Rhinolophus ferrumequinum: one gene and its partners. The protein of the gene in region 1 purifies or fractionates together with the protein of each later gene. This does not show direct contact. Links are inferred from orthologs where the notes say so. Each region holds a gene or a part of one and is shown on either strand. Other genes may lie near its edges.

Evidence for each region. Proteins that work in one complex are often made in the same cells at the same time.
Region 2: the proteins of SNRPA1 (region 1) and PRPF19 fractionate together in Homo sapiens (co-fractionation; 3 studies listed by BioGRID). This does not show direct contact. The link is inferred for Rhinolophus ferrumequinum from reciprocal best matches to the Homo sapiens genes SNRPA1 and PRPF19.
Region 3: the proteins of SNRPA1 (region 1) and SF3B4 purify together in Homo sapiens (affinity purification with mass spectrometry; 3 studies listed by BioGRID and IntAct, counting the BioPlex papers as one, with this or other methods). This does not show direct contact. The link is inferred for Rhinolophus ferrumequinum from reciprocal best matches to the Homo sapiens genes SNRPA1 and SF3B4.

The regions. Positions count from the first base shown.
Region 1 is NC_046311.1:12,856,828-12,867,608, forward strand, and holds the start of SNRPA1 (U2 small nuclear ribonucleoprotein A'), read right to left. Parts: upstream 4,264-10,781; 5' UTR 4,167-4,263; coding exon 4,085-4,166; intron 1,076-4,084; coding exon 928-1,075; intron 314-927; coding exon 235-313; intron 1-234. Other genes in the region: PCSK6 (proprotein convertase subtilisin/kexin type 6), read right to left, coding at 9,695-9,792. UniProt on the Homo sapiens protein: Involved in pre-mRNA splicing as component of the spliceosome. Associated with sn-RNP U2, where it contributes to the binding of stem loop IV of U2 snRNA.
Region 2 is NC_046294.1:9,870,055-9,880,381, reverse strand, and holds the start of PRPF19 (pre-mRNA-processing factor 19), read right to left. Parts: upstream 4,781-10,327; 5' UTR 4,556-4,780; coding exon 4,537-4,555; intron 2,897-4,536; coding exon 2,747-2,896; intron 2,559-2,746; coding exon 2,482-2,558; intron 1,743-2,481; coding exon 1,601-1,742; intron 1,520-1,600; coding exon 1,446-1,519; intron 1,332-1,445; coding exon 1,269-1,331; intron 389-1,268; coding exon 347-388; intron 220-346; coding exon 145-219; intron 1-144. UniProt on the Homo sapiens protein: Ubiquitin-protein ligase which is a core component of several complexes mainly involved pre-mRNA splicing and DNA repair. Required for pre-mRNA splicing as component of the spliceosome.
Region 3 is NC_046305.1:50,391,064-50,401,342, reverse strand, and holds the start of SF3B4 (splicing factor 3B subunit 4), read left to right. Parts: upstream 1-5,499; 5' UTR 5,500-5,813; coding exon 5,814-5,847; intron 5,848-6,282; coding exon 6,283-6,411; intron 6,412-6,678; coding exon 6,679-7,221; intron 7,222-7,522; coding exon 7,523-7,729; intron 7,730-9,560; coding exon 9,561-9,734; intron 9,735-9,896; coding exon 9,897-10,084; 3' UTR 10,085-10,279. Other genes in the region: MTMR11 (myotubularin-related protein 11), read left to right, coding at 44-131, 291-379, 464-588, 1,053-1,119, 1,330-1,400, 1,910-2,076, 2,369-2,542, 2,843-3,025 and 2 more. UniProt on the Homo sapiens protein: Component of the 17S U2 SnRNP complex of the spliceosome, a large ribonucleoprotein complex that removes introns from transcribed pre-mRNAs.

The DNA of each region.
Region 1 (10,781 bases):
ATTAAAAATATATATATATAGTCACAGGATGTAAAGTACAGCATAGGGAATATAACCAATAATACTCTAAAAACTATGTATAGTGTGAGATGGGTAATAGATTTATTGGGGTTATGTGCGAGGTATATAAATATCTAATCACTACGTTATTTTGTACACCTGAAATTAATTTTTAAAAATTGAAAAAAAAAACAAAAAAACCCCCAAAACTCCATTTCCCCCTGCTCAACTTACCAGCTCCACAAGACTGTTGTTGGTGAGAATGAGTTCTGTGAGACACGGCAGAGCCTGATCAAGGCCCTCACCTATGCGGCTAAAATAAAAACAGAAAGACGTAGTAAAAGGGACAATGAAGTAAGCTAACAATTTTATCTAGTCCTCGCTCAGAGGATTTCAGACTGCAAAGTCGGAACACCCTTAGAGACCTTTCTTCCAATACCCTGTGACAGAGGGGAAATGAGACACAAAGAAGAAACCCTGTCTGAGATCACAGCGGTGGTGAGAGTGGGATGATTTTAGAACCCACGCCTCTTGAAAGCTGCCTGGGGCTCTTTCCACTGCGCCACTGTCCAAAGAAACTAAGAAATGTGTAGAACAAATGGTGTAGCTCACTTCATGGTTTTCGGGCGGGCAGCACAGAAACACGAGTGATTCTGCACTCACAGCTCAGAGACAAGACACACACCACGGTTTACTGCTGAGAAATATGCCTATATCAGAAACCGCAACCCACCACCCAGAACTCCTTAAAGACATTTCCTATAGACCTTCAATAACTTTTCTCCAATAAAATTTACACAGAGATAAGAGGGTCAAAAAAAAAAATCTCAATTCCAGTAAGTAATATTTTAAAAATGTGTTGTAGTTAAAGAAAAAATGGCAGAGGATCTGAGGGAAAAGAATTACTTTCCACTAGCAGACACTTACCATATTCTATTGTTGTTCACTAACAATGTTTTCAGTCTTCTCAACAAGGGAAAACCATCCAGTTTCCTGATTTCATTGTCAGAAAAATCAATAGCATCAAACTGGTCTAAGGTCGCACCTAAATTTTCAATGACAGGAATCTTATACCCTGTAAAATGGAGGAAAAAACCCCACACAAGTATTAATATAATTAAAAGGCACCTTAAAACACGGGCAGTATCACATGGTCATTCGACTCAAAGCTTCCATTTGTTCAGAACGTGTTTACCTAGCACCTATGCCTCACCAAACACTGCAAGGTACTGGCACACAAAATAGGGAAAAAGTTACAAGTCCCGGCTGCCATGAAGCTTACCGTGTAGCAGTGGTCGTGAAGGTGCTGATGTCAAGGCCGATGACGACGAGGATACTTAGTGACATTAAGTGGTAGCTAACACTTGGAAGGGTATTTGCAAGGTGCCTCATACTGTTCTAAGCAAGGCCCCAGAGCTAGTTAAGTGGCGTAACAGGAATTTACAGTGAGCTGCTTATGGCCAGTGTCCAAACCTTTTTCATACACCGGGGACAACAGTTCTCTTTTGCCTTCCCACAGGTCAGCTTCATACAACCCATCAGGATAGCCTCACGACACCATGACAGTTTCCCCTTACTTCCCCTCCCCCGTCTCCAATCCAGGGTTGAAGGTCAATGACTTATACCCAATGGGAAATCACGCTACGAACAATTCAAGCGAATTCTCACTGACTTGTCTAACATGCGCTTAATTATTGTGCTAGATGCTAGAAGCGAAGAAATGAACCCAGCCAAGGTTAAAGGAAGGCCACCGTTCAGAGCTGCAAGGGCTACATCCAAGTTAAGTGCTGCCCCAATTATCCTCCACACCCCACATGCTTCACACTTGAAGACCACAGAGGTCAACCTGAGCCGGGAAGGTCAAAGTGGTCAGTTACTCTCCAGTTGAATCTTCCTCTGAGAAACTTAAGTGCATCAAAATAAAAGCACTGGGCAGAGCGTGCAGCACGGCAGCTTCCCAGACTCTACAGTCCCCGTGGGAGCAAATCTCAGGCCAAGATTGTACAATCTCATCCCTGCAGAAGCTGCTCTTCGGGTCCTTGTAAGGAAGATGTTGAAGAAAATTTGCCTTCATCGGCGGATGTGACTTTCTTGTTTCTTTTTATCAGGGAAGACGTGAAGAAGTGAAGAAAGTTTGCCTTCATTGTTTGATGTGAGCTTTTGTGTATTAGCTTTTACCTGTTCCAGTATGTTCCTGATTTCTGTGCTGTGATCAGGGTTGAGTCACTTCCCCCTTTGGTCTCATTCTCCCGAGCAGCGGAGACATGAGATGAGGTTGCTTTTCTGTCGTGCTGTGAGGTGATGGTTAGCTTAGAGTTAAAAGAATTCTTGATCAGGGGTTGAGAGAATTCCCTTTGTTCTGTTTCGCCTGTATCAGCAGAAGTGAAGAAGTAGCTAAGTTATATCAGGACGACGTGACAGGCACGTTGCCAGGTCTTGTTGCTTATCCAGATGAACTGGCCCTTCGGCCAGATGGGCAGCATTCGTATCAGTAACTGCCGGACCCTCCCGGAACCGGCCATTCCCGGAGGGGGCGGCAGGAACAAGAAACTTGGCTCTAAGGCACATCTGAGAAAATATTTAAGACAGACCTCAGCTGGCAGTGTAATCGTAATTAAAATTTCATCATTTGTCATTGGTGACTCTTCATCATTCTGACATTTTGAAGACTTCCAGCAACACAGCTTACAGCACCAGGGGCTGTCCTGACTTCCAGCCGTGGACCTGGTGAGGGCTGCCTGGTTCCCGGCCTCTCCGGTGTTGTTCCCCACCGTTCGCCTTCTTGAGAACTGTTAACATTTTAGAAGCTTGTATGCAGCTTGCAGCTTACAACATCAGAAGACGCCCTAACTTCCAGCAACAGCCACCACAACAGCAACAGCATTCCGGAGAACTTGTGAACAGTTTAGAAACGTGTATACAGCTTGCAGCTTGTAATGTCAAGGGACGCCCTAAGTTCCAGCAACGAAAAAACGGCAGCAAAATTCTTGGGAACTAGCAAGCGGCGGGGCGGGAGACGCCTGAGTTTCTCTCAGCTGCAGACCCGATGAAGTTTTGACTTATGACTTTTCCTACGGTTTGGTGAGCTTTTGGCATCTACTATCACAGTTACTATCCTAGAGGGCTTATTACTGCTTTTGGATTCTCCTTACTGACGTTATTTGTGCATTTAGCCAAGTGATTTTTGATCAATAGTAAACATGTGCTGGGATCTCTTAAACTTTTAAGTACGTGTACTCCTTTGACGTGACCTTGTTATCAATGTATATAGTTTAGTCTTAACCACCTTTACTTCTGTCACTAGCACGTTCTATTACTTGCCTTTTGCTATTGCCTATTACTAAATACATTGATTAGGTATTACTAAATCAGGTCATCGGGCCCACTCGAGCGTGTGTCCTCTCCCTTCTTTCCCCCGCTCGTCAGGACTGTCCTTCCTGGAATCATCTTCTGACACGCTGATTAAACAGCTGTACTCAGTGTCCTGCCCGGCCTCCCTAAGGTTGCAATAGCTCCGGGAACCCGATTAGTTCCGAGAGCTTGCACCACTTACACACGACACCCGGTCGAGCAAGCCTCGGGGAAACAGTTCACTCCATAAAACCTGCCGGTAAAAGGGAAATCGCAGACAACTGGAGCTCGTAAGGCGGAAACGTTTGGGCAGCAATCGCTTTTGTTCCCGGACTTCGTTTCCTCCCTCACCGACTGGAGACAATTCACACGCGTCCTACCGACACTCGCACGATGACCAGTACGGACTGAGAACCAAGCACTCAGTGCATTTCCCCGGCCCTCAAACACAGCGGACGGAGGAGGAGCCCGAGGAGGCCTCACGGAGGCCCGCGGACACGGACCAGGAAGCCACCGCGTCGGCCCTGGAGCGAGGACGGAACAGAAGCCTAGGCAGAGCCCAAGGGACGGTCATTCGGTGACGCCGGCAGGACTCAGGCCGCGGCGGTCCCGGCGCAGCCGCCCCCTTGGGGCCCGAGCTGCAGGCACGCGCGGCCCCAGCTCCAGCGCTCGGCACACGCGGCGCGGCCCGGAGGCGCGGCCCGGCGACGGCCCGCCCTCTCCGCGGACTCACCCCGAAGGTCAAGCTCGCGGTCCCGCACGGCGTTGGTGTACTGCGCCGCCTGCTCGATCAGCTCCGCCGTCAGCTTCACCATACTGCCGCCTCCCGCTCCCGGTGCGCGGCCCGCGGCTGCCTCCCGCCACACACAGGTCCCGGCCTGCCCCGCGCCCGCCGCCAGGCAGCACCAGTCGCACCGCCGCGTGCGCGCGCAGCTCGACGTCCAGGCCGAAGCAATCGAAGAGCCGCGTCCCCGATCTCCTTCTCCTTTGAGGCCCTGGAGCGCGCTGAGGACGCGTCTAGTCCTGCTTGCTTTCCTAGGGCGTCTCTGGAGTCTGGAGGACCCCTGATTCCAGACATTTGTGTCCGCAAGTTAAGCAACATGTGACGATACCCGAGTGGAACTTTTTCAGGCATCAGTGCACCTGGAGGTGAAGGTGGCGGGCACCCGTGGGATTCATGCAGGGTCCAGGACTTTGGATTCCCGTCTGGGTCCTGGGCTCTGGCCCCCGGGCTACAACCTGAACCCCGGGGCTGGATCACCTGCTCCCGGCCAGGCCGCTGGGACCGCCCGACCTCCCAGCACCTGGCACCTGGGCACGGTCGACTTTGTGGTTAGGCCTCCAGACAATTAAATGTTTATTTTAATGCATGATAATACATAAAGGTGGGCACATCAGAAGTGTGCAACGTGACGAATGATCGCAGAGTGAGCACGCCAGCGAAAACTGTCGGCCCTGGTGCAGACACGGAACACTACTTTGAAAGCGTCCCGTCTGAGAATGATAGTTTTATGTCTTCCTTTCCATTTTGTGTACTAGTTCTTTATTTTTTGCCCTGTGGCATTGTCTGGCATCTTAAGTACAAGGTTGGACAGTGGTGGTAGGGGACATCCTTTTAGCAGGCATCACTTCATAGCCAAGGGGGGAAAAACTTAATCATTGATCAAAGTCACTATCACCAATCATGAAACCAATCAAAATCCTGTATCACCTACTAGGATGCAACGAGAAGAACACATTACTTCTGGGAGATTACGGTTAAAGACATCTGACCAGAATTGAAATATGAGGAAACCTCAGACAAAGACACGGAGGGTCAGCATATAAATAACTGGCCTGTAGTCCTTAAAAGGTTCAAGGTCATGAAAGTCAGGGAAAGACTGAAGAAATGTTCTAGGTTGAAGAAGACTTGAGAGACAGGAGGATTACATGCAAAATGTGATCTAAACTGGATCCTTTTGCTAAGGGCATTCCTGGGACAAGTGGCAAAACTGGAATGCAGTCAGAGGACTAGACGGTAGGTAGTAATATATCCATGTGAATTTCCTGATTTTCTGATGATTATATAAGAGAAGGTCCTTGTTTATAGGAAATAGCCTCTAAAATATTTGGGGGTGGATGGGTAATAGGGTATCATATCGGTAATTTACTTTCAAATTGTTCAGGAAAACATTTCTTTGTACTGTACTTGCAACTTTTCTGTAATTTTGCATTGAGATTGTTTCAAAATAAAAAACGCTACAATCCCAACTTCACTTAATCCCACAGAGGACCACCAGGGGGAGTCCTTAGACCAAAGAGTTGGTTTTGGCCCTTGGCTTGCTGGATTGAAAAGAGTTTCTTTCTTTACTTTAAAATAGGAAATTTGTATGGGTTTTTGTTGCTTCGGCATATGGACAGGGAGATAAACTAGAGGCAGTTATATTAACCTTAGGTTATCTCTATGAAGTTGAGAACAGATTTTCTGTTTTGATTTCATTTCTTTTGGCTAGAGAGTCTCAACCTCAGCACAGGTGACATTTTTAGGCTGGATTATTCTTTGTTGTGGGGCTGTCCTGGGCATTCCATCATGTTTAGAAGCATCCCAGGCCTCAGCCCACTAAATGTCAGTATTTTTCTCCAGTTGTGACCCCCAAATACCTCCAGACATTGCCAGATGTCCCCAGGGACACAAAAATCACCCCCGGTTGAGAACCACTGTTTTTGGCAACGAGATGTTTTCTGCTCTGGGCACTTGGACTCCTATTTGCTCAACAAGGAGCCTAGTAGGTATCGATCACCCTTAGTGTAGCTGGTACATATTGGGGTGGGGGGCAGCTTCGGGTGATGGGAACTGAACCCCAGGGCATGAGATGGGTGCTCAGCATTGCATCACCTCGGGGTGCTGTTCTGTGCACAGACAAGCCACAGAGCCTGAGGTGTCAGGAAGGATAAGGCCTGGGTTCAAGGAAGAAAAGCAGCAGGGAAGTCCGGAGCGGGATGCAGTCTCCTCCTTTCCCATGGCAGCCAGCACCCAGTCGCTTCCAACTGGCTGGGCAGAACCTTAAGATGCTGCAGAATGGCTGGTATACTACTTTTTGTTCTTATTAAAATGCCGTTCTTTTGTACTTCTCCATCTCCTTGCCTTTCCGTCGTCTGACGCAAACCTCCACCCTTCACCTGCTCCCAGGGGCCCCAGCATACCCCAAGCATTCAGGTTAAGTTCCCTGTGGCCATATTATCAGTGATTTAAATGCAGTGAGTGACCGTCCCCCCATATTCAAGAGCACTGCACTGTTGGCCTCACTTTGACCATGGTGCCCTTTGGTTTTTCTCAACCTCTGTCCAGCCCGCTTCCCATTACAGCTGTGTCTTCTGTAAAAGGTGCAATTCTCCCCAGCTCTTTACATAATTACCAGGTATAAAGTCCGCCGTGGCCTGGGAGGGATGGGGATATGCACCCGGGGACCACTTTGAGGTGCCAAAGAATTTGGCGGACAGGGTAAGGAAAATGTCACCCCCTGGAAATAAAGCTAGTTTAAAACAAATGCATCATGCCTGCCTTTGGTCAGCTGCACAAGTGATGCCCCCTCTTGCGGAGAGAGCCAGCCTCCCTCCCTGGGCACATGGATGGGAGCAACCTTGCCAGTGTGTGGCCCAAGGCAAGTCACTTTACGTCTGTGAGCCTCCGTCTGTGAAATGACAGATTTACAGGGGAAGAGCCATGATTCTGTCACATAAAATAAAATCCATGAACATGTCCTGCGCCAACTGAGTCTAGATGAAGTTAAGGTTGGGCCATTTGCAAAAAAAGGCATTTTATGTCGTCGGTCCTTTTAAACAAGGTGGCATTTGGTCCTAAGAACTTTGTGAACAGGTTCCCAGCTGCCCACGGCACTCGTCAGCCCCAGGACAGGCTGGGCCAGCCACTGCGATGAGGGTATGTGTGTTCCAAGGCTGTCTGGTTGGCTGCCTGTAGTGGGAATGCTTTGGGAATAAAAGTTTATGTCTGATTCAGTTCTAAACATGTTAGACCATAAGCGCTCAGTGGGCAAAGAGCTCTAGGGGCTCCAACGGCTCCCCTCCCCCACCAGAGATACTTAGCTGCTGGTTTTAACCTCAGGTGAGTCTCCTGGGGGAGGTTGAATCCGTATCAGTCATCAGCCCAGCCCTGGCTGCTGTCTCGCAAATACACCCACTCATTTCCCCACTGGCCCCTCACACGGACAGGTCTGGTCAATTCACGCTCGTGCTGGGTAGTGTTGGGTTGTGGGCCTTACCCCCATTTTCTGACAGCATCATGCTACACCCCTCCCGCTAGGTGGTCACAGGAAGAACTGCCTGGAGCTTCGTTCTGTTGCACAAACCTGTCCCTGTGGCCACAGCTGATGGGACCGGTGAACGCCGATGAAGGCAGACCAACCAGGGCCAAGAAGCAGACTCAGAAAGCTCACCTGGGAGATGGTGGTGGCCTTGTCATTTGTCCCATTCACTGCTCCAAAGCAAAGGGGTCCAGGTGACATTTAATGCTGGTCTTAGGGTTCCCAAGGCCCAGCAGCACCCTTCCCTGAAATTCTGAGTCAACCCTGGGATCCTAAAACAATGCCCCTCACCCACTTTTGTATTTTCCTAAGTCAATTCTAGTTGGTGAATTTCCTTTATTTGCAGCCGAAGGGTTCCTAGCAAAACAAGCTTCTGATCTTGCAGAGAGGACACGGTCAAAATCGCATGCAGCATGGAACCCATGGTGCAAGTGTTTCAGTTTCTGTGCGGAAAGAAGCTGTAACCTAATTAAATCAGGCTTGGCAGCCATAGGTGAAGGGGCTTGCAGTCTGGGACAGAAAGGAAGCATCCCTATAACCAGCCTCTCCACCCAAGCGGGCGTCTGTGGCCTGAAGAGGGGCTGTTTGCCAAAGGACACCCTGGGGCTGGAACTCTGGGATTTCTCCCATGACTTGGTCCCATCAACATTCTCTGAAGCTAAAGACCTTCCACGTAATGACATCAAACCGTTCTGGAAACCACAAATACCACCATTTCCCCCACTGGTCAGCACCTGTGTTTAACTGTCGTGCCTTAGAAAGAAATACAGGCTCCTTTGCTGTGGGATGTTAACTCTTTTATTAATTTAAGGTTAACACTGTATCTGCTCTGTGGATTTCTTTTTTTCCGGAGTTGTGGATTCACCAAACACCCGCTGGATTTTGTCCCCCAGCCCCCCAGGGATAAGTCAGATGCATTACAGTCAAAGAGCGGGGCAGGGCAAGATGGAGAAGGACTGAGCTGGAAAAAATTTAAGGCAAATGTTACCCCTTATTGCAGGGACTCGATCAAGCAGATCTGTGCATTTCAATGAAAATATATGAACTCTTTGTCAGAATAACATTGGTACAAATCAGAACATTTAGCTTATAAAAGGCCTACACAGGTTTGGCAGAAAGAGGTCCAACCGTGTCGTTGGGCTCAACCGTCCCGCGTTGCAGAGGCCAGGTGTGTTTTAAAAGCAATTCCGCGAAACGGGAAGTGACAGATGATTAACAATTCACGGGCTGGGGTGACACGTGTTAACAGGAACTGCTTGGTTGTTGGGGTCTTTTTTGGCTGGCCCCCGGGGACACCTTCAGAAGGCTGTGCAGCGGGTAGAGGGGGTCACTCGGGCCACAGGACTCCTACAGACACAGACAGAAGGCAGTAACAGGGAGCACTCGGCTCACGCAGAGGACAGTCCTCCAGAGAAGGAAAGGCTCTCCCCATCCGGGGCTGGAATCTGACTTTCGAAGCCTGCGATTTCAGAAGTCGCTGGCTGTGTAGGAATAGAGGCTCCGTCCCCAGTGGTCGCACGTTTTATGTCCCCAGGTCTACCTTATCTATAGTCTGACCAAACCATGCCCCCCACCAGCCTGCTCTGCGGCAGGCAATGAGCAGGTGTGCCGTGTGGCCCTTCGTCACGCGTGGGGACAGCCAGGTTCTGTGGGCTGGACCCAGTGGCTGAGACTGACTACGGAGCTGCGGGAAGCTGGGAGAAGAGCGATGTGTGAGGCCAAGCGTCTTGACTGTCTGCTTTGGTCTGGAAGCTTCAGTAAACTTGTGGTCCCAGAGGCTGCTCAGAAGCTGGAGCTGTGGATTCCCAGAATGCACTGGGTTCCCGGGTGGAATTTGCCAGAAGAGTGCAGCCAGCCAGTGCGTCTGGGAGGAGCTGCTCCTGAAGGCCCACCGCCTGATCTGGGTGCCCCGAGATGCTGCCGAAGGGCCTGGCTCCTGGGGGGTAAAGCTGTCAGGCAGGGTACCACCCCGAAACGGGCTCTGGCCCACGGTCTGGAGACAGGTGGACAGACGGCCGGACGGCCCGCAGGGGCCGGAGCCCCTACCCGGCCAGGAGGCACGTACGGCAGCAGAACTGGATGAAGAGCTTCCGTTCACACAGCCTGTTGGACTTGACCATCTCGCAGAACGTTTCGTCAGCTGGGGCCCCACCAGGAGAGAGAGCAGGGATATGTCAGACTTTGAGGCGTGTTTCATGGTTCTAACCATCCCACTGTACTGGGCCGGGGGAGGGGACACGGAGTGGGGGTGGCAGCCAGGGCAGCCCTCACAGTCACCCTGCTGACATACAGGGACTCCTGCTGAGCCTGGGAGATAAAGGGGGTTCAGGAAGTCTGGGCGTGCAAAGCGCAGGTCAGGAGGACATCGGGGCAGTGCCAGCGGGGTCTCGGTGCTCATGTGCACCTCCTTGCAGACAGCTGTGCAGGGGGTGGGCCTAGGACAGGACTCTGGGGGGGGCAGGGGCAGGAAGAGAGGCTGTTGCTGTGGTCTGGGGGGAGGGAAGGAACGGGAGAGAGACAGTCAGCAAGGCAGATGGAAAGCTGACGGGGAGGGCAAGAGCCATGGAGGTCAGCCCCACCGCTTGGCCGCTGGCTTTTGAGAATGTGTAGCCCTTCATGGGACCCACAGACCGTCCTGTGACCACCTCACTTTCCTGGGCTGGACACATAACCTAAGCAGGTGACTTCCTAAAAAGGGAGAAGGGGCACTGTTCTGCAAACCAGAAAAATAACCAAACACCGAGGCAAGGAGGCCATCTCGTGGTCTGCAGGGCGTGCCCAGGGCTTTCTCTGCAGGCCCGAGGCTCGGCCAGGCCAGGCCCAGGGCCAGCTCTGTGCCCAGGACAGTGCGGCTCTGGTAGCTCCCTCTCCTGCACGCCAGGTCGCGGTGCCAGAGTCGGCTGTGCGGCTTCTCCTGTGGCTTCTGCGCCTTGGAAGTCCCCTTCCCTGCCATGGCTCCTGGACCAGCTCTCCAGGCCAAGTGCTCTGCCAACCCTTCCTCTTGCCTGGAATCCCCAGACTGGTCTTTGGTCTCCTCTGACTCCCTTTTTTTACCCAGAGACCCAGGCTCTCAAATGGCACTGACGTGGGTCCTCCTTGTGGGACATGTGGGCTGAGACCCTTCAGGCC
Region 2 (10,327 bases), on another chromosome or scaffold:
GCACGTCCCTCACTGCCTGACTGGGAAAGCTGGGCAGGACGAGAAGCCCTGACAACTCAGCTCTCTGCCCACTGCTCTGCAGGCTGGCCCACGCCACCCCAGCAAACAGCATGTCTCCAAGTTCACAGGGAGCCGGCCACTCACCACGTGAGAGGCCACCTGCCGGTATCTGCTGAGCTCTTCTGGCTTCACCAGCTCCTCAGGCACAGTCTTCCCTCTCTGAGGAAAAGAAAAGCCCCCCAAGAAAAGCGGCAGTGAGCGCAGGATTCAGCCGTCCCCCTTTCTCCTCAGGGGTCAACAAGGCCACCAGGCCACCTCTCTCTTCTGGCTCTGGGAGAGGACTCACCTTCTTACGCTCCGTCGTCAGCACTGTGGCCTTGTCTTGAAGCTGGGAAGAGAGGGGAATGAACTCGACGTGAGACAAACGAGTTTTCCAAGAACAGTATATTGGATGCTGATCACATCTACGCCTTCACAAGTGACCCCCAAAACTCGTTGTCTGCCGAGGTCTGTGCTAAAGGCTCACAAGCATTATCTCTTTTTACTCGCACTCCAACCTTATGCGGCGGGTGCTGATGACCTTGTTTCAGAGGAAACTGAGCTTCAGAGAAGTGAAGTCACTTGCCCAAGGCCACAGAGATGATAAATGGCAGAGCTCCCAGACCAGGTCTATGCCACTAAGATGAGAGCTGAGATGCAGGTTGACAATCTGAACTGTTTGGAAAAGACACAAACTATCAAGTCCTGTGAAGGCGGATTTCAGAAATATAACAGAGCATTGGACCTGGGAGCGGGCCAGCTCTGCCTCTTGTGAGCTGCGCCTTTGAATCTGAGTCAAAGATTCCTCATCTGTAAAATAAAAATGCTAATTCCTGTCCTGTCTTCCTCAGAGAAAAAACATGAAAACGTGTAACAAAATATCTTAATATCTGCCAAGAACCCCAATAACAAGAAGAGCTACAAGTCGCACTTATCAGTAATTACAGTCTGTTAAATTCCCACAAGTCTACGAAGTAGGCACTATTATTCTTATTTTAAAAGCAAGAGAAACGGATACAGAGGGGTTGATTAAGTCAAATCAAGGCCGTGAAGCTTAAAAGTGGTAACATCAAAATACAAACCCAGGCAGGCAGTCTGGTCCGACTCTGTGCTCTGCACGACCCTCCTTTATCCCCAAATGGATGGGATTTTTATTCACATGGGACTCGAGGCAGCTGATGAAAAGTGAGGGCCCATCAGCATTCCCACCAAGTGAAAGCACGACCTACCTTCTGGATAATCTCGGGGGTCATTCCCACCAGCTCGCCCAAATCCATTGGCTCGCCTGCACCCTGAAGAGAAGAAAGGTGCAGGTGAGAGGCATGGAATGTCAAAAACCCTGGCAGGAGGAGAGCCCCAGGAGCCGGGGGCTGGGGGCGGAGGGGGAGCCGGGAGACGACACTCACCACCACACTTGGCTGTGAGCTTGGCACAGCCTGGGGCACGATGAGACCAGCCTGCGGCTTCAGGGTAGCCAGAGCTGAGAGAGAAGATAATGTTAGAAATGGGATACGATGAAGCAGGACCAGCCCCGAGTGGGGGGAGTGGGGAGAGGCTGCACCTTCTCGGGCAGCAGTGACTTCCTTGGTGAGACGGGCAATGACACGGCAGGCGGCGTCGTGCTGGTACAGCGCATGGGACAGCTCTTGGCGGGTGGTCTGCAGCTGCTGGCGCAGAGTGAAGCTGTGCAGCATGACTGCATCCTGGGAGGGGGGATACCACTCTGAGGGGGTGCACCCAGCAGAAGCGTCAGCCCTCGAGAAGAGGACACTGCCGCCAATGCTCACGGCCTAGAACAGTATCAGTGACCCCAGCACCATCTGAGTGGCCCAGAACCAGAGAGTGAGCGACTCCTGAGCTCCTAGCCCCTGCCCCAACACTGGGCACACGGACAGGAGTGGGAGCCAGCTCTTCCCCACCCCCAGCTCCACTAATTTACTGGCAAATCTCAGATGTCATGCCATCACCTCACCAAAAGGGAATAAAAACGCTGCTGCTATTTACTGACTGCCCTCACTGTGTCAGGCACTGCGCCAGGCAGTCCCTCAAGATATATTCATTCATTCCTATTTTAGAGCACCTACTGTGTGCCAGGTGTTGCTGTCGGTGCTGGGGATATACCAATGAATTAAACAAGTCCCTCATGTCATGCAACTTCTAATCTAATTTTATTCTAATTCTCCCAAAACCCCGAGAGACAGACACTAATCTGTGTTGTACAGTCAGGAAAACCAGGACTCGAATACGAGTGATTTGTCCAAGGGCACGCGGAGCTCAGTGTAGAACTCAGATCTGTGTGACTTCAACAACCAGTCTCCTACTCTGTGAGCATCCTGCCCCACAAAAGAGAAAATAATGCTCCATCCTTCCCACCCCCAAGTCCTAGTCCAGTGATCACTCTCTTCAAGTGGGGAGGATATTAGTTCTCTTCCAGAAACTCACCCACTCATCCTGTAAGGCCTTCAGAATGGCCGGGATGCTGGTGGCTGAAGGAGGCTTGGGCCGGATTGGGTGAGCAACTGCCGAGAGAGGAAAAGCAGGTATGAAGAACCAAAACCCAGGGGACCCTTGCTTTTCCTCTCCGCCACTCTTCTCCCTTTAGTCTGCATTGCCAGGGCACTAGCCCCTCCTCCCATGAGCTGGCACCACCTCCCCCGTCTCAGGCTCGGAGCTAAGATGACCCTGGACTGAGGCAGCCCCTAGGCACCTTTGATGTCGATGAGCTGCTCCTCAGACAGAGGCTGGTTGTTGATGGGGTCTGTGCCATTCTCTGCAATATACTTCTCAATGAGCCGCCGCTCGTAGACATGATTAGACACCGGGGACACACATGGGTGCTCTGGCACTTCATTGGAGACTGTGGAGAAAAGGCAGGCCGTGAGCTCAGGGGGTGAAAGGGAACTTGGGCCAAGGGGATGCCTCACCTGCTGCCGGCCCCAACAAGACCCCGGGTTCCCACACTGAACTAACAGGAATTAAGACATGACACCAAGCCAGTTTTGTACTGTCCCCAGCATGCTTTCCAGCTACCTATCTAGCTTCTCCTACACTCAACAAATAATTATTGCACAACTACTATGTGCCAGGCCCCTGGAGAGCAGTCAATCAGCGCTGCCCGTCTCATTTCTGAACAAAGATGCTTTGGAGACACACATTAAGCCACTCAAATCTCAGTCTAGAGCCTAGATAGACTGTCAGACTATGAAATGATAAAGCAATGTGACAAGTGCTATATGATACATTTCATTGTTTGCCATGCACGACTGTAAACACTCTCCATTGATTTCTCATCCTCACAGTCACCCCCAACAGAGGTATCATTTACACGCCTGCCTCAGTGGTCTGTGCAGCCCTCCAGGAGGAGACTGCAGCTGTCTCTGGCTTCCAGTACGATGCAGATCCCCAGCAGGCACTCGGTAAACACCTACCAGATGAGTGAATGAGAGGAAGGATGGTGCTGGATGGAAAAGAGCTTCCTCAAGACTGAAAGGAAACAGTGAATGTGAAAACACTCCACAAACTGTGATTTCTTCAATGTGAAGGGTTCCTTTTCCTAGCTGTCAGGGCCCTTCCTTCTCCCCCCATCCCCCTTTTTTTTCTTTTTGATTTATGGAGAGGCTCTGAGAGTAAAGGGCTTGAGAATTAGGAAGCAAATAGAGAAAGGGATGATGAAACAACAAGGATGGAAAACATCTGCAAGCCACGATAAAATACCAAAAGGAAAGATGATACAAGCATGAAAAAAAGGCATGGATTCCGGGTCAGAGAACCTGGCTCCATCACCCTGCTCGGCCACTTACTAGCTGTGCAGCTTTCGACAAGCCACACTCTCCCGGAGCCTAACATCCTCGTCTGAGAAAGCGGACCTTTATTTCAGCTTTGGAGAATTGGCGTGAGGATAAAATGAGCTCACAGGCTTGGAAGTGCGCTGTACACCAATAAAGGCGTTACAAATGTTCGCCTCCGAGGCTGAAAGCTAGAGACCTGGCTTCCAGCCCTGTCACTACCTCTAATTCACTGTGCCCTTCACAAGTTGCAGAAGCTCTGCCTACCCGAGCGGGACCCCCTACAAAACCCAGTACAATGCCCTCATTTTGCAGATGGGAAACTGAGGCCCAGGGCCCTGCACCAGATCGCAAAGCCAATCGGAGGCGGACCCTGCAGAAGCCCTCGGGTATCCTGATTCCTACACCAGAGCTGGTTCCCCTGCACCAGCTCCCTGTGTCCAGGCCTCAGTTTCCACTGCGTAAACGAGGTGGTTAAGCTCAGCAATGCCTGCGACAATAAACCTGAGGCGTTACGTAAACTGTGAAGCGCTGCGCAAATGCACCCCACGCTAAGGAGGAGGACCACCTCCGAGCTGACAGGCCGCTGCCCTGTCTCCCAGGAGCCCCGTTTTCACCTCCGCCCCTGCCCCGGCGCCTGAGAAGCCCGCAGATCCTCCCGCTCGGCTCTCCGGCCTCCTGTGACCCGCGATCGGCCGCAGCCAATACTCACTGGAGCAGATCAGGGACATGGCGCCGTCGCTGCGCTCCGAGGCGCCACACACCGGGCTCCGGGATTAGCTTCTGACCTGCCGCGGGCCACTTCCGGTTCCCCGCTGCTTCCGGGAAGCCCCGCGGCGAGCGGGGAGCTGCCCCAGTCGAGCGATGTTCCCTTAGCCCTTCACGTGGGACTGCGGCGGCTCGCGCGCCTCAGCCTCCTGCCCCTAACGGAAACTGCCCTTTCCCAGAATGCAGCCGGGCAGGAAAGGGCCCGCCACGGGACACTCGACTATTTCCGGAACGGCTCGGCTCCTTCCGTTAAGCGCCGCCGAGTGCGGGAGAAGGGAGGGGCCGCGGGAGGAGATCTGAAACTACATTTCCCATAATGCAGTGAGAATTTAGAGACTCTGCTAGGAGACCCGGTGAAGAAAGCGCCAACGCAGACGGGTTGAGAAACTAACACCGACCAAGAAACCGTTCTAGGCCTGTCCCTATTACCAATTTGCTCCGCGATCTCCCCTTTCCTACATGACTTCCACCTCCCTTCCAACTCAGATGGTGTAGGGTTCTTTGTGGATATCTATAAGGTACTCCCAGAAATCATGTACAGAACGTGGTGCGGACTATAAGGGATCCAGACCAACCAGCAGGACATCCAGGTATGGTCGGTGAAGTCTTCTTTGCTGAAGAGGTGTGAATGAGCTAGACTTTAACAGACGGGCAATATTCAGATAGAAGGGAAGAATCCTAAAAGGAGGAACAGCACAAGCAAAGGCTTGGAGAGAAGAATAAAAGTTGCAGGTGTGAAGGGTATTATGGCTTAGTGGCCAAGAGCATGGACTCTGACGTCAGATTGCGTGCTCTAATCCCAGCTCCACCCAGCTAGTAATGGGTGTGAACTTCTCTGCCTTAATTTCCTCATCTGTAAAATAGGGCAGTGATAACAAGTGTTGAACTAACAACCCATAGGGTTATTGCTAGGAGTTGATATTTAAAAAGTGCTTTGAACGAAGCCTGGCACATAGTAAGTAAAATATAAATATTCATGTTTGTTATCATTATCCCGAAAGCCAAGCCAAACTACTGTCATCTCTCCCCTGCATCAATAAAATAGCATCCTAATTGGTCTTGTTTTCAACCTGGCCTCCTCCTACTCCATTTTCCACGGAACAGCCAGTGATCTACTTTCAATGAAAAATCTGTTCCCACTACTCTCCAGGCTTTGCATTCATTCAACAAATATTGACTGGGTAACTCCTAGCTGATAACTGGAGATACAAATGGTGAATAAGAAAGACAAGGTTTCTTTGGAGCTTACACTTTATTGCGGGGAAGGGGGGAGCCATAGACATATAGACAATCAACACATAAAAAAAAAAAAAATTCCAAAGAGTGGTAAGTGCTAAGAATAAAACAAATCAGAGTAAAGTAGATAGGAGCTGCTGTGGATGGGAGGAATAGGCTACTTTTAAGCAGGGTATTCAGGGAGGGCATCTCTGAGGAGGTGACATTTTTGTTGAGACCCGAATGAGGAACAGTGTTTCTGGCAGAGGAAACTTGCCCCCAAGTCCTGCACCATTTAGCTCATGCCGACCACCATAGTCTCACCCCATCTTCTCTCCAGCCACACTGGTCTTTCAAGTCCTCAAACTTACTCTGGCTGGTTCCAGTATTTTCACCTGGAACACTTTCCTCAACTTCCTCCCTTCTCCTCCTCTCCCATCCCCTCCAAAATAAACTTCAACCTCACCTTAAGTGGTGTTTCCTCTGGAGCCTTTTTCTTGACCTCTCACTGAAGTTCAGTGCCCACAGTAGTCTGTAATATTCCTCTGAGCCACTTTGGATAACTATAATCAATTATTCACAAGGATCTGTTTGATGTCTGGGTTCTCCGCTAGACCATAAACTCCTTGATGGCAGGAACCATAGTTGTGCTCTCTGGTCACTGTTGTTTCTCAGAGTGTAACACAATGCCTGACAGATAGCAGAAACTTCATAACTGTTGTTGGTTGAATGACAGATTGCCTGACAGACCAGGCATCTTAAGTTCTTGGCTGTGGTAGGAAATAAAATGGATCTGTTTAGGTGGGGTCTTGAGCTAGAGGTGGTTAGACTTGATTGGGCTGGCAGAAGAACAGCCACTGAGCTATGGAATGATAACCACACTTCCAGAAGATTCCTCTGGAAGATATTACTGGATGGGTTGGAAGGGGACAGACTGGAAGGCAAGAGACCCAGTAATTCATTTTTTTGACAGATCTTAATGGAGGACCCACTGTATGCTAGTCCAGGCACTGAACTAGGCATTGGGGCTCCCACTATGAGCAAACCCAGAGGTATCCCTATATTGGGGAGCTTATGGCTGTGACAGAAGGATGGAGGAAAAGGGGAGTCCTTTCCAGCCTTTTGTGTTTCAAAAGCCAGCCCCTCAGGCGATAGAAAGGATTCAGGGCAACTGATTTTGGAGTAAATATTACAGGTAAGAACTTGATCTCAGATTCCTCCCTACTTCCCCCAATCTCAACCTTCCCACAGAGGAGATAAAAATTCCCTAGGCTAGGAAGGGAGACACAGGAAGAAAGGTATATATGCGTAGTTATTGATGGATCCCCAAGAAAGGGACTCTATGCCCTGCTTCCCAGGGCCAAGGCTGCTTGGAAAGCAAGAGAACACATTGGCCAATAACTCCAAAGAAGCTGCATTTCGTAGGTAGATTCTGTGGCAAACTGTGTGGACAAGTGACAGAGGAAAGAGTGAAGATCAGGGATATATAAAACTGAGGCATTTTAACCAAGCTGCTAAAATTATTAACATGAAGGTTGAGGCATGAGGAAAGACTCCATTCTTGTTCTAATTAGCAGGGGAACTTAAACTTTTTGAAATTTCCAGTCCTGCATCAATGCCTGGATATGCATCCAGACATATACCAGACCTCCAGATAATTTTGGTTACCTCTTGAAGGACTCACGTATCCAGACTACTGACAAGACCAGACCTCCTGGTGCCCATCTCCTGGACCACCTGGCATCCATCATCCAGACTGCCTGACTGATAACCACCTGGGACCAATCCTAGGGCTAAGAATGCAGGACTGATAATTCTCAAAAATGTTCGTTTAACTATATGAACTCTTAACTTTTCTTTCTTCTTTGGGACACACCTGGGTTTGTTTGTTTTTGTTTGTTTGTTTTTTGCCTAGCTGCGTTTCCAATTTGCAAACTCTAAAGCCCTTGAATTAATTTTTATAATTTACTTCTAGCAAAGTCTCCAGACTCTTTTCGAATTCATCTGACATGACAGAGGCTTGGGCAGGACAATGCAGCTCAAACAACAGACACTGAGGATTAGATGAATCCCCCCACCCACCCCACCCCCTCCCGCCACCACCCCCATGTTAATTTTCCAAAAGGTCTGTATAACCTGAAAAATCAAGGGTGGGAAGAACCCTGAACTGTCTGAGATTGTTTCCACCACTCATATAGAAAGAGTTGAAAAGAAATTAGCTAGTCATAGTGGGGGAAAGCTACATTTCTTGCACGGGAAAGTCTGTGACCTGAGATTGGTGGTAGTCCTACAAATCAGAAACAATCTCAAAAGCAAATGTAAAGTTCCAACTATTTCCAGGATGCTACCAGAGACGGCTGGGGAAGACAGAGAGACCCTTAGCAGAGGCAGGAAGTGATGAGTATCCAGACAGAGGAAGATGGATGAGAGATGTACTGTGAAACGTCTGAAGAAAAGAAACAACTGGGATTGATGACTGACTGGTTGCTACTGAGTGCGTGATCTGGGAAGAAGGCAGACTTAGAAGGCTGATTCAGGTAGAGGAGGGAAAAAGAGTTCCATTTTAGAGTGTTGAGTTTCAGGAACTGCTTTAACATCGGAGGGGAGCTTTCCAATGGCAGCCAATGTGATCACAACATTTGGACAGCAGCTTGGATGTTTTTTTTAAAATCTTCATTCTGTTACTTCAGTGAATCTCCACACCTACTGTGAAATGGTATTTTTAGGACCTTATAGTACTTTATAGTAATGCGGAAACGAATGAGGCTCAGAGACATGAAGCAACGTGCCTGGAATCACAAAGCCAGCAAGGGATCACCTCCTTTCAAATCCTTGGTCGCTCCTCCTCGCCATGCCGCCTTTTTTTTTTTTTTTTTTTTTTTTTGGTAGAGCTCAGGTCTGGGAGTTTGTTCCTTTCCTTGCATAAAATTAAATGAACATTTTGGGAGCCATCTCCAGAGTCCGGGTGTGAAATTGCTCTCAGAAGGTGCAGGTGCATTTCCCCACCATTGGGTGCCTCTAACTGCACGTCAAACACCTTTTCCCTTTGTGCCTTTTTAGCGCGCGAAAAGTTTCTCAAAAGACTAGGGGCTCTCGGGCGCCCCTTCCTTAGAACAATGCCTACGAGGCATCACGGGACTCGAGAACTACATTGCCCGAAATGCCCAGAGGCTGGAGAGGCTTCGACCCCAAATTCAAAGACCCAGTTTACCCACTCTACAGCCCAGATATAGTCACTTAGTTCCCCTTTCCCGCCAGAGACTTCCATCCCCTGCTCGAACTCCCGATCCCACTCGTCACCGTGTCGGAAAGAAAAAAACAAGCGAGAGTAAGGCGCATGCGTACACGGCACCGGGTTTGGGCCTGGAGGGAGCGGCCGGCACCGGAGCACATCCCGCCTTGCGCGTGCGCAGACGGAAAACCAGCACCCCGGAGTTAAGGCGCGGGTTTGGTGGCTCGTTTTAGCGAAGTCGCACGTGAAGGGTAGCAGTGGCCCGAGCCCGGTGAGTGTGAGCCGAGACCCGGGCTTTGGGGCAGACAGGGCTGGGGAGGCGGCAGCCACCACAGGCGGTGCCGGGGCGGAGCCGCGAGGCCAGGCGAGCACCACTGGGGAGGGGTCCGACGTCGCGCGAGCGGGAAGCCGACTGGGGACCCGGATCCTCGTTGCTATGCAACTGGGGGCATCGTTACTAGGTAACGGGAGACACGCGTTTCCCGGGAGCAGAGGGGTGCAAACGCTGCTCCCAGGTCCGGCCGAGGCGCGGCAGCCGCCAGGTTGGGGGACGAGGCAGGGGTGAGCACGCCGTCTCCGACCCCCACCCCACGGCGCAGCTTCCTGCGGCTTCGCTCCGAGCTCTTTGGGGTACCCCGAACCCATGCGCCGCCCCGGGTCCCTTGCCAGCGATGCCACCCAGCAGGGCTTGGCAGGGGACGCACTGTTCGAAATAGCGCATGCCGCTGACACCCTGTCTCCAGGAGGCTGGGCCTTCATGTGGGCGCCGTGAAGCTGGGAAACTGCCCCTTTGCCTGTCACCCTGCCCCCAAACAGTTGCTGGGCAGCAGCTGTCAAGGGTTTAGCGAGGGCTGCCCCTACCTGCCAGGACGCTGACTTCATCCCCCTCAGTGGCAGCTTCGCCCGTCTAGGAGCCTTCTTTCAATGCAGCTGTCTTTCTAGGGTGGCCGCTGCATATTTGGATGAACTTTAAAATAAGTCCCCTGTCCCCACCTCCCCATGGCTTCTTGGCGGCCTTCTAATATTCACTTAACAAGCACGTATTAGTCATCATTCTGTGCTAGGCGCTACGGATTCCAAGAAAAGTTAGTTGTCAAATCTGACCCGGAGGTGCTCAAAGTCTAATTGGGGAGGCAGGCATATAAACTGCTAAATTCTGCTACAATGTAATGAGTGGTATATTGGCCATTTGCAACACTTCTGTAAGTGTTTACAGTGTACCAGGTTCTTGCAGAAACATGTTAACTCCTTGGAGTAACTCTTAACCCCACTTAACCCCATTTTCCAC
Region 3 (10,279 bases), on another chromosome or scaffold:
GAGGTCACTGAGTCAAGATGTGACATAATTCTCAATTTCACAGCCTCCCCCGTTACTTCTGGGTCCCCAACCGAACTCTGGACAGTGAGGTCCGGAGAGCATTTGGCCACTTCCATCAGGGCCGTGGACCGGTCAGTGTGAGGGTCAGGGTAATGGTTGGGGATTCGAGGGCTATGGGAGGTCAGGGGTCATTGTGGAGAGAGGGGCCCCCTGGGAGGTGAGTGTGGGGGCAAGGGGAGGGTGGGGCTAGGAGTTTCTCCCATAGTGATCCTCCTCTGACTCATTTGAAGCGCCTGTCCTGGCATCACCCTGGGGGCAGTGATCTTCTCCGCTGTGGTGGCTTCTATACAGCCAGTGACCCTAACAAGGAGGACGTCAGGTGAGGGAGGTTTGATGAGAAGAATCAAAGCTCGGATGTTCAGGGCAGACTCCTTCCCTTACTTGCTGACTCCCTCCCCTGCAGAGCAGTGGAGTCCCTGCTCCAGGCGGGGCATTCCGACGTCGCCCTGGTGGACACCATGGACGAGCTGCCTAGTCTTGCAGATGTTCGCCTTGCCCACTTGAGGCTGAGGGCCCTCTGCCTGCCTGGTGAGAGTAACCTTTGACCCCTTACCCCACCCCTAGGTCTGCTGACCCTAACCTGGTTTACCATTTTGCCTGCGACAGACAAGTAATCCTTCGGCCCCCTGATCCTTCGCTTTCTCCTCAAATCCCCCATATCCCACAGACTGATTTCCTGTTTTTCCGGACCCCAACATATATTCTTGTTTTGAAACTGCTTTATTGAGATATAATTTACATACCATAAAATTCATACGTCACCTATCTTAGGTGTTCAACTCAATGAATTTTATTATATTTACAATGTTGTACAAATATCACCACAATTGAACTTGGAAACCTCACGGCCATTGTCGTTACTCCTCATTCCTGTCCCCAGCCCTAGGCAACCACGACTCAACTTATTCTTAACCCTTCAGGCTATAGAGCCTGAATCCCGAATCCCACGTTTTCCTGATCTCTGCCCTTCTGACCTCTCTACCCTCTATCAGATTCATCCGTAGCTGAGGATAAGTGGCTCTCAGCCCTGGAAGGGACACGGTGGTTGGACTACATCAGGTACTTCCTCTTTTTCTAGCCATGATTTATGATTCAACCCTCCCCAACCTTCTGTTAACGTGGACGCCTAATGGCCTCTGAAGTCTCCTGGTCTCCCGAGAAGACCGCTGTGATGCTGCCCCTTACAAGGGGCAGGATTTTGGGCTCTGCCTCTATTACTCTCCTCAAAGCTTATCATTCTTCCGTCCTCTTCCTCACCTGCCCCTCCAGGGCTTGTCTTCGGAAGGCCAGTGACATCTCAGTCTTAGTGACATCCAGGGTTCGCTCTGTAGTACTTCAAGGTGAGTTTCTTGGATCACCTCACTCCATTACTTGACTGTGTCCTTCACCCACCTGACTGGATCCTGCTCAGGGAGGGAGACCTATTGTCTCTAATTACAGCTCCGCCTCTCCCTTTGCTAGGAACTACCATGAACTCTAACTCACCCTCCAGTGCTACCTCTGTCTCCCCATTACAGCCCGTGGTCCCTAACCAGGGTTTCCGTCCTCAGTTACCATCCTTCCATCAGTGGAATGGCATGGGGGTTGGTGTGGGAAGGAATGTGGAAGTAGGTTTGAGATTTAGAATCTGCCTCCTACATGTGAGGCTGGTTATTTCTATCCGGTGGCGTCTACAAAGTGAATCATTCAAGGTCTTTGTTTTCTCTTCACTTCTATGTGCCCTCTCAATCCTACCTACCCCAAACTTTCTCCTCTGGCCTCTCACTTCTTGCTTTGTTTCCTTTTCTCATTCTCTTCTGCCCTAGTTTCTCGGCCCCTCCTTTGTCCCTTCTCCCTCTTCATCACCCAGAGCGCGGTGATCGTGATTTCAATGGCCTCCTCTCTTCACTCGTCCAGCTGCTTTCAGCCCCTGAAGCCCGAACACTGCTTGGCTTCCAATCACTAGTGCAGCGAGAGTGGGTGGCAGCTGGACATCCCTTCCTGACCCGACTTGGGGGAACTGGGGCGAGCGAAAAGGTGAGAACATCTTGGGAAGGTTTTGGGTGGGGGCCAGCATTCAGTATTACTAAAGAAGTAAGGGGATCAGAAAAGTATACTCCATTGGAGGTGAATAAGGTCTGAAGGGTCCTGAGGGTAGACTGAGCTTGAAGGGAGACCCAGATGCGTGAGGGACCACATCTATGACATGCTCAATTCAGATTCCATTTTCTGATCTCCTTCGGGGCCCTTGTTCCGTGTCCCCCATCATTTTGTCATCCTCCCCCTTTAGGTCACCACAATCCCATCCTCTTAATTTCCCTCTTCTCAGGCCCCCGTGTTTCTCCTCTTCCTGGACTGTGTCTGGCAGCTCCTCCAGCAGTTTCCAGCTGAGTTTGAATTCTCTGAGTTTTTCCTTCTTGCTCTTCATGACAGTGTCAGGGTTCCTGACACCCTTACATTCTTGAGAGACACTCCCTGGGAACGTGGAAAGCAGAGTGGACAGGTCAGTGACTTCCAGTTTTTACTTGTCTCCCCCACCGCCACACATACACACTGAGAAGTAATTTCTGAAGTTTAGTCTTGATTTATTAAAAGTTAGGTCCATGGGTGGGAAAGGGTGGAGGTTGGTGCTCACTCTCAGCATTTGACTTTCACCCTACGTCTGATTCCTGGAGTAAGAGACGAGAGTCTGAGAACTTCTCTCTAGACCTGGGAGGAGGATTACATGTGTATATGTATGTATGTATGTATGTATGTATGTATATTTTGTTTAACCATCCCTTTTCTTGTTTCCTTTGTCCAGTTCAACTCCTATACACAAGTCTATACCCCAGGGTATTCCCAGCCCCCAGCTGGGGACTCCATTAACCCACAGCTGTCTGTCTGGGACTGGGATTTACGATACAGCCATGAACAGATACTACAATTCCGTAATCCTGGCTATGACCCGGAATACTGCCCAGATTCCTGGCTCCCTAGACAGCAGGTGAGGTGTCTAAACTTCCTCAACTCCCTTGAATTTCTCACAGGCTCATCCTACTTGATGTGGAGAAGTGGAAAGAGACAGTATCTGAGTCCCCCAGGGAAAGCTTCCCCACTCCTCTTCTATAGCTGTCACAGTCCCTGACTGTCCCCAGGAAGACAGAAATCCTAGAATAGCAGAGGGCATCCTTTTTGTTCTCATCTTCTGTCCCTTGCACACGTTTTATAAATTTCCCTAAAATCAATTTTAATCAGTCCTGAGGCCTAGGCTGAAACCTAATGAGAAGGAAAGATAAAAGCTCTCAGCGAGAGGCCAGTGCAGTGTGAGTGGGAGGCAGCTGGACATTCTAGCTCTTGACTGTTTGGGGAAACGGGTCATCTGGTTCCTAGGCTTCCAGTTGATTTCCCTTTTCCTTTTAGCCAAGCTTCATGGTTACTGGACCCCCCAGTTCTGTGTGGCTCTTCTCTAGAGGGGCCTTGACCCCCATGAATCAACTCTGTCCTTGGCGCGACAGTCCCTCCATGTTGGCAGTCTCTTCTCGTTGGCTCCCCCGACCTGCTATCTCCTCTGAAAGTCTGGCTGATCAGGAGTGGGGGCTCCCCTCGTACTGGGGAGCTTGCCCTTTACCCTCGGGGCTGCTGCTACCTGGATATCTGGGACCTCAGATCAGGTTCTGGAGACGCTGCTACCTGAGGGGAAGGCCTGAGGTCCAGGTGAGGAAGGAAGACAGGGCCTGGGAGGTGAAGGGTTTGACTGCTGAACCAGATGTTTCCAGGATCTGGAACAGCAAAGGGCTGGGGGGATTGGGAAGTGAAATACCATTCCCGTTGGTATCCAAGTGGATAGGTTTGGGAGTGTGGGTGGGGGAAGGTGCTTGTGGCTCAGATCAGGTGGAACTTAGGGCACAGTTAGAGGGGGAAAGAGAATTAAGACACCAGAAGTGGCAGACAGATTTTAGAAGCAGAGAGCTGGAGCTTCAATAACGTTCCTCTCTGCTTGTCTGCACCCCTTCCCAGACGGGCCTCTCAGCTCCCACAATCTCTGGCCTCCAGGATGAGCTATCCCATCTTCAGGAGCTATTAAGGAAATGGACACCAAGAATATCTCCTGAGGATCACTCCAAGAAAAGACATCCAAGTACCATTCTCTCCCAAGCCCGTTGAAATTGCTTTCTCATGGGCCGGGAAGAAGGTGGTCTGAGGGTTCAGTCTAATCCTTTGATTGTTTTATATCTGGTCTTGCTGCCTCAGCTTTCACACTCCAACTCTTAAACAAGCTTGCTGACTTGTTTCCATCACAGATGGGTGGTCTATCATGTTTGGTTCCTCAGGATTATATACAGAGGGTGCCAAAAAAAATGTATACACGTTTTAAGAAAGGAAAGAACTATTAAAATTGTAATACTCAATATATACCGATAACAAAAGATGAATACAAGTCGTGTTTGACTTCTGCAATGACAAGAGGTACTCAAAGTGGTTACTATCATGGTCCAGACATTTCTGAGTACAGCAAACTACTGCTTGAGCAACGTTGACCAAAGTGTCCCATTTGTGTATTTTTTTTGGCACCCCCGGTATATCGCGTCTTGTGATTTGAAGAATTTAGAAACAAAAACAATCCAGAATATGATCACCTGTTTTTTCAGGGCAATTCCATCCCTTTTGGATATCCAGCTTTGTGAGAGCAGAGATATGCTGTTCCTTGGTCCCAACAAGTTGGCCTACCGACCTCATTCTCCCCTCTTCTTGCTGCTTCCTGAATTCCAATTTCTATTTCTTCCCTTACAGCTTCCTGTGGGTATGGAGTGGATATGGGAGACACCCTGTCTTTTCCAATTGTATATTTTTGTAGTGACATTTCTATTTAAGGGATTCATTAAAGCGCAGTATTTATACATGTTGCTGGCATTGTTTCGTGTCTGAATAAAGGAGCCTAGGCAAGACGGGGGTGGGTACAGAGAGGCTGGGTATGACTGGAGAGAGATGGCACCCACCGTATTATTAAGGAAATAAGGGGTTGGGTCAGGTGAGGCTCTGCAGAATTCACATGCAATTTGGGGAAAAGGTTCTTCTCCAAGCCTCCCATTTAGTGGCAGACGTGGGGCAAACGCACACCGAGCCGTGGTTGCTGAGGCCGGGTGTGTCCTAGAGGTTGAAGCCTCTGGGTTCAGTGTCAACCACGCCTCAGCTTTGGTCACTTAGAGCCTCAGCTTCCCCTCACCCCCACCCCCCACCCTAACCACGAGGCCACCTCAGGCATCACTCCGGCTCCAACATAAACTGCAATCCCCTCCCTTCGGGGAAAACGAACTACTACTTCAAGCCTAGGCTGGGGCTGCGGGCGGGAGTGGAGCGCTGCCTCCACGCCTAAGGCAGCCGAGTGAGTCCTCAGCACACCCGTCTCCGGGGAACAAGTGACGATCATTTGGCACAAAAATATATGAAACACAAAGTTTTGTTCTTTTAGTTTTCAAGTTGACGTTTCGGGAGCGGTATGATCCTGCAACGTCTTGCACTGCTTTGAAAGAGGTCTGAGCGCTTCCGTTCCGCCGTCCTCGCCCTGAGAACTCAAGCGGAAGACTCGGAGAAAGACCAAGGCGCACAACAGCCCGTCCCCGGGGCCGCATCCAGTCTTAGCGGCTCCTAAGATGGCCGCCACCGCTTCCGGCCCCGCCCCACGCCGCGGCCCCGCCCACAGCCTCACGTCGGCTTTTGCCCCCGGAAGTGGAAGTAGTGACTGAGGTCGGAGGGCGGGATCGCTGCTTGGAGACGGCGGGAGCTCTTCCATCATGGCGGCCGGCCCGATCTCCGAGCGGAACCAGGGTGACTGGACGGGACAGGGGGGCGGTCTGGGGGGTCCCGAGTAGGGCCAGCAGTGTTTCCGCCCGGGCGGGAGACTGCGCCACCCAGGAGGCCGCGGGACTAGCCACTTTGCTTGTTGGGGGCGGGGTGGCCCGGTGCCGGCTACGGCCTGTAGGTGTGCTGCTTTCTAGTATGTCGAATCGCGTGCTTTCCCACTCAAAAAGAAAATCAAAAGGAGAATTTGCAGCAGGACTCAAAATTTGACTTCAGAAGATTCCCTAGTTCTTGGAAAGAGGGAGGTGTAGGGGCTTAATCTAAAACTCTCTCTTTTTTTTTCCCTTTTTGCTCCTGTACCGTCTCCACCAATTCTCCCACCTGGGTTTCATCTTCACGTTCCCGTCATCTCCTTGCACGGCATACGCATCTCTGCCCTAACTTGCTGCTCGCACCATCCAGATGCCACTGTGTACGTGGGCGGCCTGGATGAGAAGGTTAGCGAACCGCTGCTGTGGGAGCTGTTTCTCCAGGCAGGACCAGTAGTCAACACCCACATGCCAAAGGATAGAGTCACTGGTCAGCACCAAGGTGAGTACAGGCCAATAGGTCCGTTTATTTATTGAGGACAGACGGCTCCTGAGGACCCCAGCAGTATTCACAGCTGTCTTGGAATAAGCAACGTAACTAAGCATTTCTTTCTCTTAAGCCGACCTAGCTCTCGTTTGTTTCTGGAGCCATTCTTAATTGAAGTGAGGTTATTATTTTTTGTTCTTTGTGCTTTCAAAGATGGATGAGTTACGCCCTTTTTTAAGCACGTCACTTCGGTTGTGAACCTCCTGTCTTCCACTTTCCCAGGCTACGGCTTCGTGGAATTCTTGAGTGAGGAAGATGCTGACTATGCCATTAAGATCATGAACATGATCAAACTCTATGGGAAGCCAATCCGGGTGAACAAGGCATCAGCCCACAACAAAAACCTGGATGTGGGGGCCAACATTTTCATTGGGAACCTGGACCCAGAGATCGATGAGAAGCTGCTTTATGATACTTTCAGCGCCTTTGGGGTCATCTTACAAACCCCCAAGATAATGCGGGACCCTGACACAGGCAACTCCAAAGGTTATGCCTTTATTAATTTTGCTTCGTTTGATGCTTCGGATGCGGCCATTGAGGCCATGAATGGGCAGTACCTCTGTAACCGCCCCATCACGGTGTCCTATGCCTTCAAGAAGGACTCCAAGGGTGAGCGCCATGGCTCAGCAGCTGAACGACTTCTGGCAGCCCAAAACCCACTCTCCCAGGCCGACCGCCCTCATCAGCTGTTTGCAGATGCACCCCCTCCACCCTCTGCCCCCAACCCTGTGGTATCATCACTGGGGTCTGGGCTTCCTCCACCAGGTAAAGCGTTTGATTCACAATATGTTTGTCTTGGGTTTGGGGGTGGGGCAGAAAGAAGGAAAAGAACGGATAAAGAGGGACATTGAGTCGGTAGGCGATGAGAAGGGGATTGAAGGCTAGTGGTTGTGGTGGGGAGGAAAGTTGCTGAGTTTCTCCAGGAGGCGGAAGTTTTCTGTGTTGGCTGACATTGCCTCTGAGTTTGGAGAGCTGAGAGGAGCTCGTCCTGCCTGGAGAGGCCAGATTGGAACAGGTTCTCGAAAGACATTCACTCTCATTAACTGTTCTTCTGTTTCTTCCATAGGCATGCCTCCTCCTGGCTCCTTCCCACCCCCAGTGCCACCTCCTGGAGCCCTTCCACCTGGGATACCCCCAGCCATGCCCCCACCACCGATGCCTCCTGGGGCTGGAGGACATGGGCCCCCAGCAGCAGGAACTCCAGGGGCTGGACATCCTGGACACGGACACTCACACCCTCACCCATTCCCACCAGGTGGGATACCCCATCCAGGTGAGTACTCTTTGCTGGAAAAGGAAGGGATGAGCTGGGAAGAGGAGCTGTCACCACTTATGCTGCTGTCCTTTGTCTCTCAACAATAATAGTTCTAGAATGTCTTTCAGACATTTTTTTATAAAAACAAGACATTTTTTTATAAAAACAAACACAAGATACTTTACTCTCTTTAAAAACTACCACCTTGTCTCTATTTCTTACTTGTTTTTCCAAAGTTTACAACTATCCTTGTTGTTTTTTGTTTCCTTAACTTTTACTTCCATTCTTTCCTCTGGCTTCCATCTCACGGCAGTTACCTAATTGCTAAATCTAGGGGACACTTCCACTCCTTATCAGGTTTGACCTATGGTCTTACTTGAAACTGGCTATGTGTTCCTGTTTGAAAATCTTATCTCTTTCGCTTTTCTGGATCCACTTCTTATCTGTCTCCTTAATTTTAGGCACCTCAGTAGGCTCCCTTTTCTCTGCGTGTACCTAGGATTTTGTGTTTTGTTCTCCTTTCTGCATAGTTCCATTACTTGTACTTTGATGCCTCCGAGATCTGTATCTCTGTTCCATGGTTGTTCACATTCCAGACTCTTAATCCTGCTGTTGAAATCGACAGCTCCACTTTCCACCCTCCCCTTCAACCCTAGCCTTCCTCTAGTATTCTTTGTTTTCGAGTGCTTAGTTCAGAAATATGGGGCTGTGTTTGACTATTCCCTGTCATCCCACTCTTGATACCAAGTCTTATTAATATTTCTGGCGTCGGCCCTCACTGCCAGTGCCCTAGTTCAGGCCCTCACACCCTCATTAATTCACACTTAATTTTTAATACATTTTATTGGGGAATATTGAGGAACAGTGTGTTTCTCCAGGGCCTATCAGCTCCTAGTCATCCGTCATCCTTCAGTGTATTGTGGAGGGTGCAGCTCACTCCAAGTCCAGTCGCCGTTTTCAATCTTTAGTTGCAGGGGGTGCAGCCCCCCATCCCACGTGGGAATTGCACTGGCAACCTTGTTGTTGAGAGCTCTGCTCTAACCAACTGAGCCATCCGGCCGCCCCGCCGGAAGCTCAGCGGCAGCTCGTTGTCTTCAATCTAGTTGTGGAGGGTGCAGCTCACTGGCCCATGTGGGAATCGAACCGGCAACCCTGTTGTTCAGCGCTCGTGCTCTAACCAACTGAACCATCGGGCTGCCCTCACACCTAATTTATTGTAAGAATTTCCTACCTCATACTTTGACTCCAATTTTCATTACCTTTGATCCACTTCACAGAGTAATTTTTGTCAAACACAGAAATCTACATACACACTCTTGCTCAAATTCTTCTGTGGCAAGAGTAAAACCAGCCTCGTGACCATAGCATTCTAGGCCTTTCCTGGCCCCTGTCCGTTACTCCTGTGACTGCCTGGTGCCCATGATTACTAAGCGGCTGGTTTTCCTGGGACAGACTGCCACTTGACACATCAGTGAGTTGCACATTCTAGTCTTTTCTGCCTAAGATGTTCTAGTCCCACTCTCTACCTGAAAGAGTCTTATCCTTTCGACATAGATCTTTGCTCAGATAGTATCTCTGCTACCTTCCCAAATCCTATTGACAGACCGTTCTGTTTGTTACATACATCTGCGGCTCTTCCGGTGCCTGAATCGTGGGAGAAGCAGGTAAAGAGGGCGAGAAACTGACTGGGTAGTTGGTTGGTTTGTACAGTTGGAATGGGGTCCAGGAGAAGGACATTTTTAGCAGCCTCGTTTTCCCTACTCGTCACTTCTCTCCATTTTGTTTTCTTTTTTTCCCCACGTTTTTGCCCTTGTCTCCTGTCTCTGATGTGTCCGTCTTGTTTTCATAGGGATGTCTCAGATGCAGCTGGCCCACCACGGCCCTCATGGCTTAGCACACCCCCATGCTGGGCCGCCGGGATCTGGGGGGCAGCCACCACCCAGACCGCCCCCTGGAATGCCTCATCCCGGACCTCCTCCAATGGGCATGCCCCCCCGAGGGCCTCCGTTTGGATCTCCCATGGGTGAGTAGGCTCCGGCCACCTCCTTCTGTGAACCCCTCTGTCACACCCCCTTTCCCCTCACTTCTCTCCTTCTCCCTGTCTCCCGGTCTGCCCTCTCCCTGCGTCCTCCCAACGTCAGCTGTCTCCTGTTTCTCTTCCTAACTTCTCTTTCTCTTCCTGCAGGTCACCCCGGTCCTATGCCTCCACACGGCATGCGTGGGCCTCCTCCCCTGATGCCCCCTCATGGATACACTGGCCCTCCACGACCCCCACCCTACGGCTATCAGCGGGGGCCCCTCCCTCCGCCCAGACCCACTCCCCGGCCTCCGGTTCCCCCGCGTGGCCCACTGCGAGGCCCTATCCCGCAGTAAGTCCTCATTCTCTTTCCGCCTGTCCTGGTCTCCCAATGTCTTTTCAATTCCTTGGACCAATCAGAGTTGCTGTAGCTCCGCGGGGCCAAGGCACTGATCCCTCTCAGGCCCGTTTTTTAAGTGTGATTTTTTTCAGAGGAGGTTTTTTTTTTTCTGCGTTGGTCCTAAGTGTTTTGCTAACACACAGAGATAATA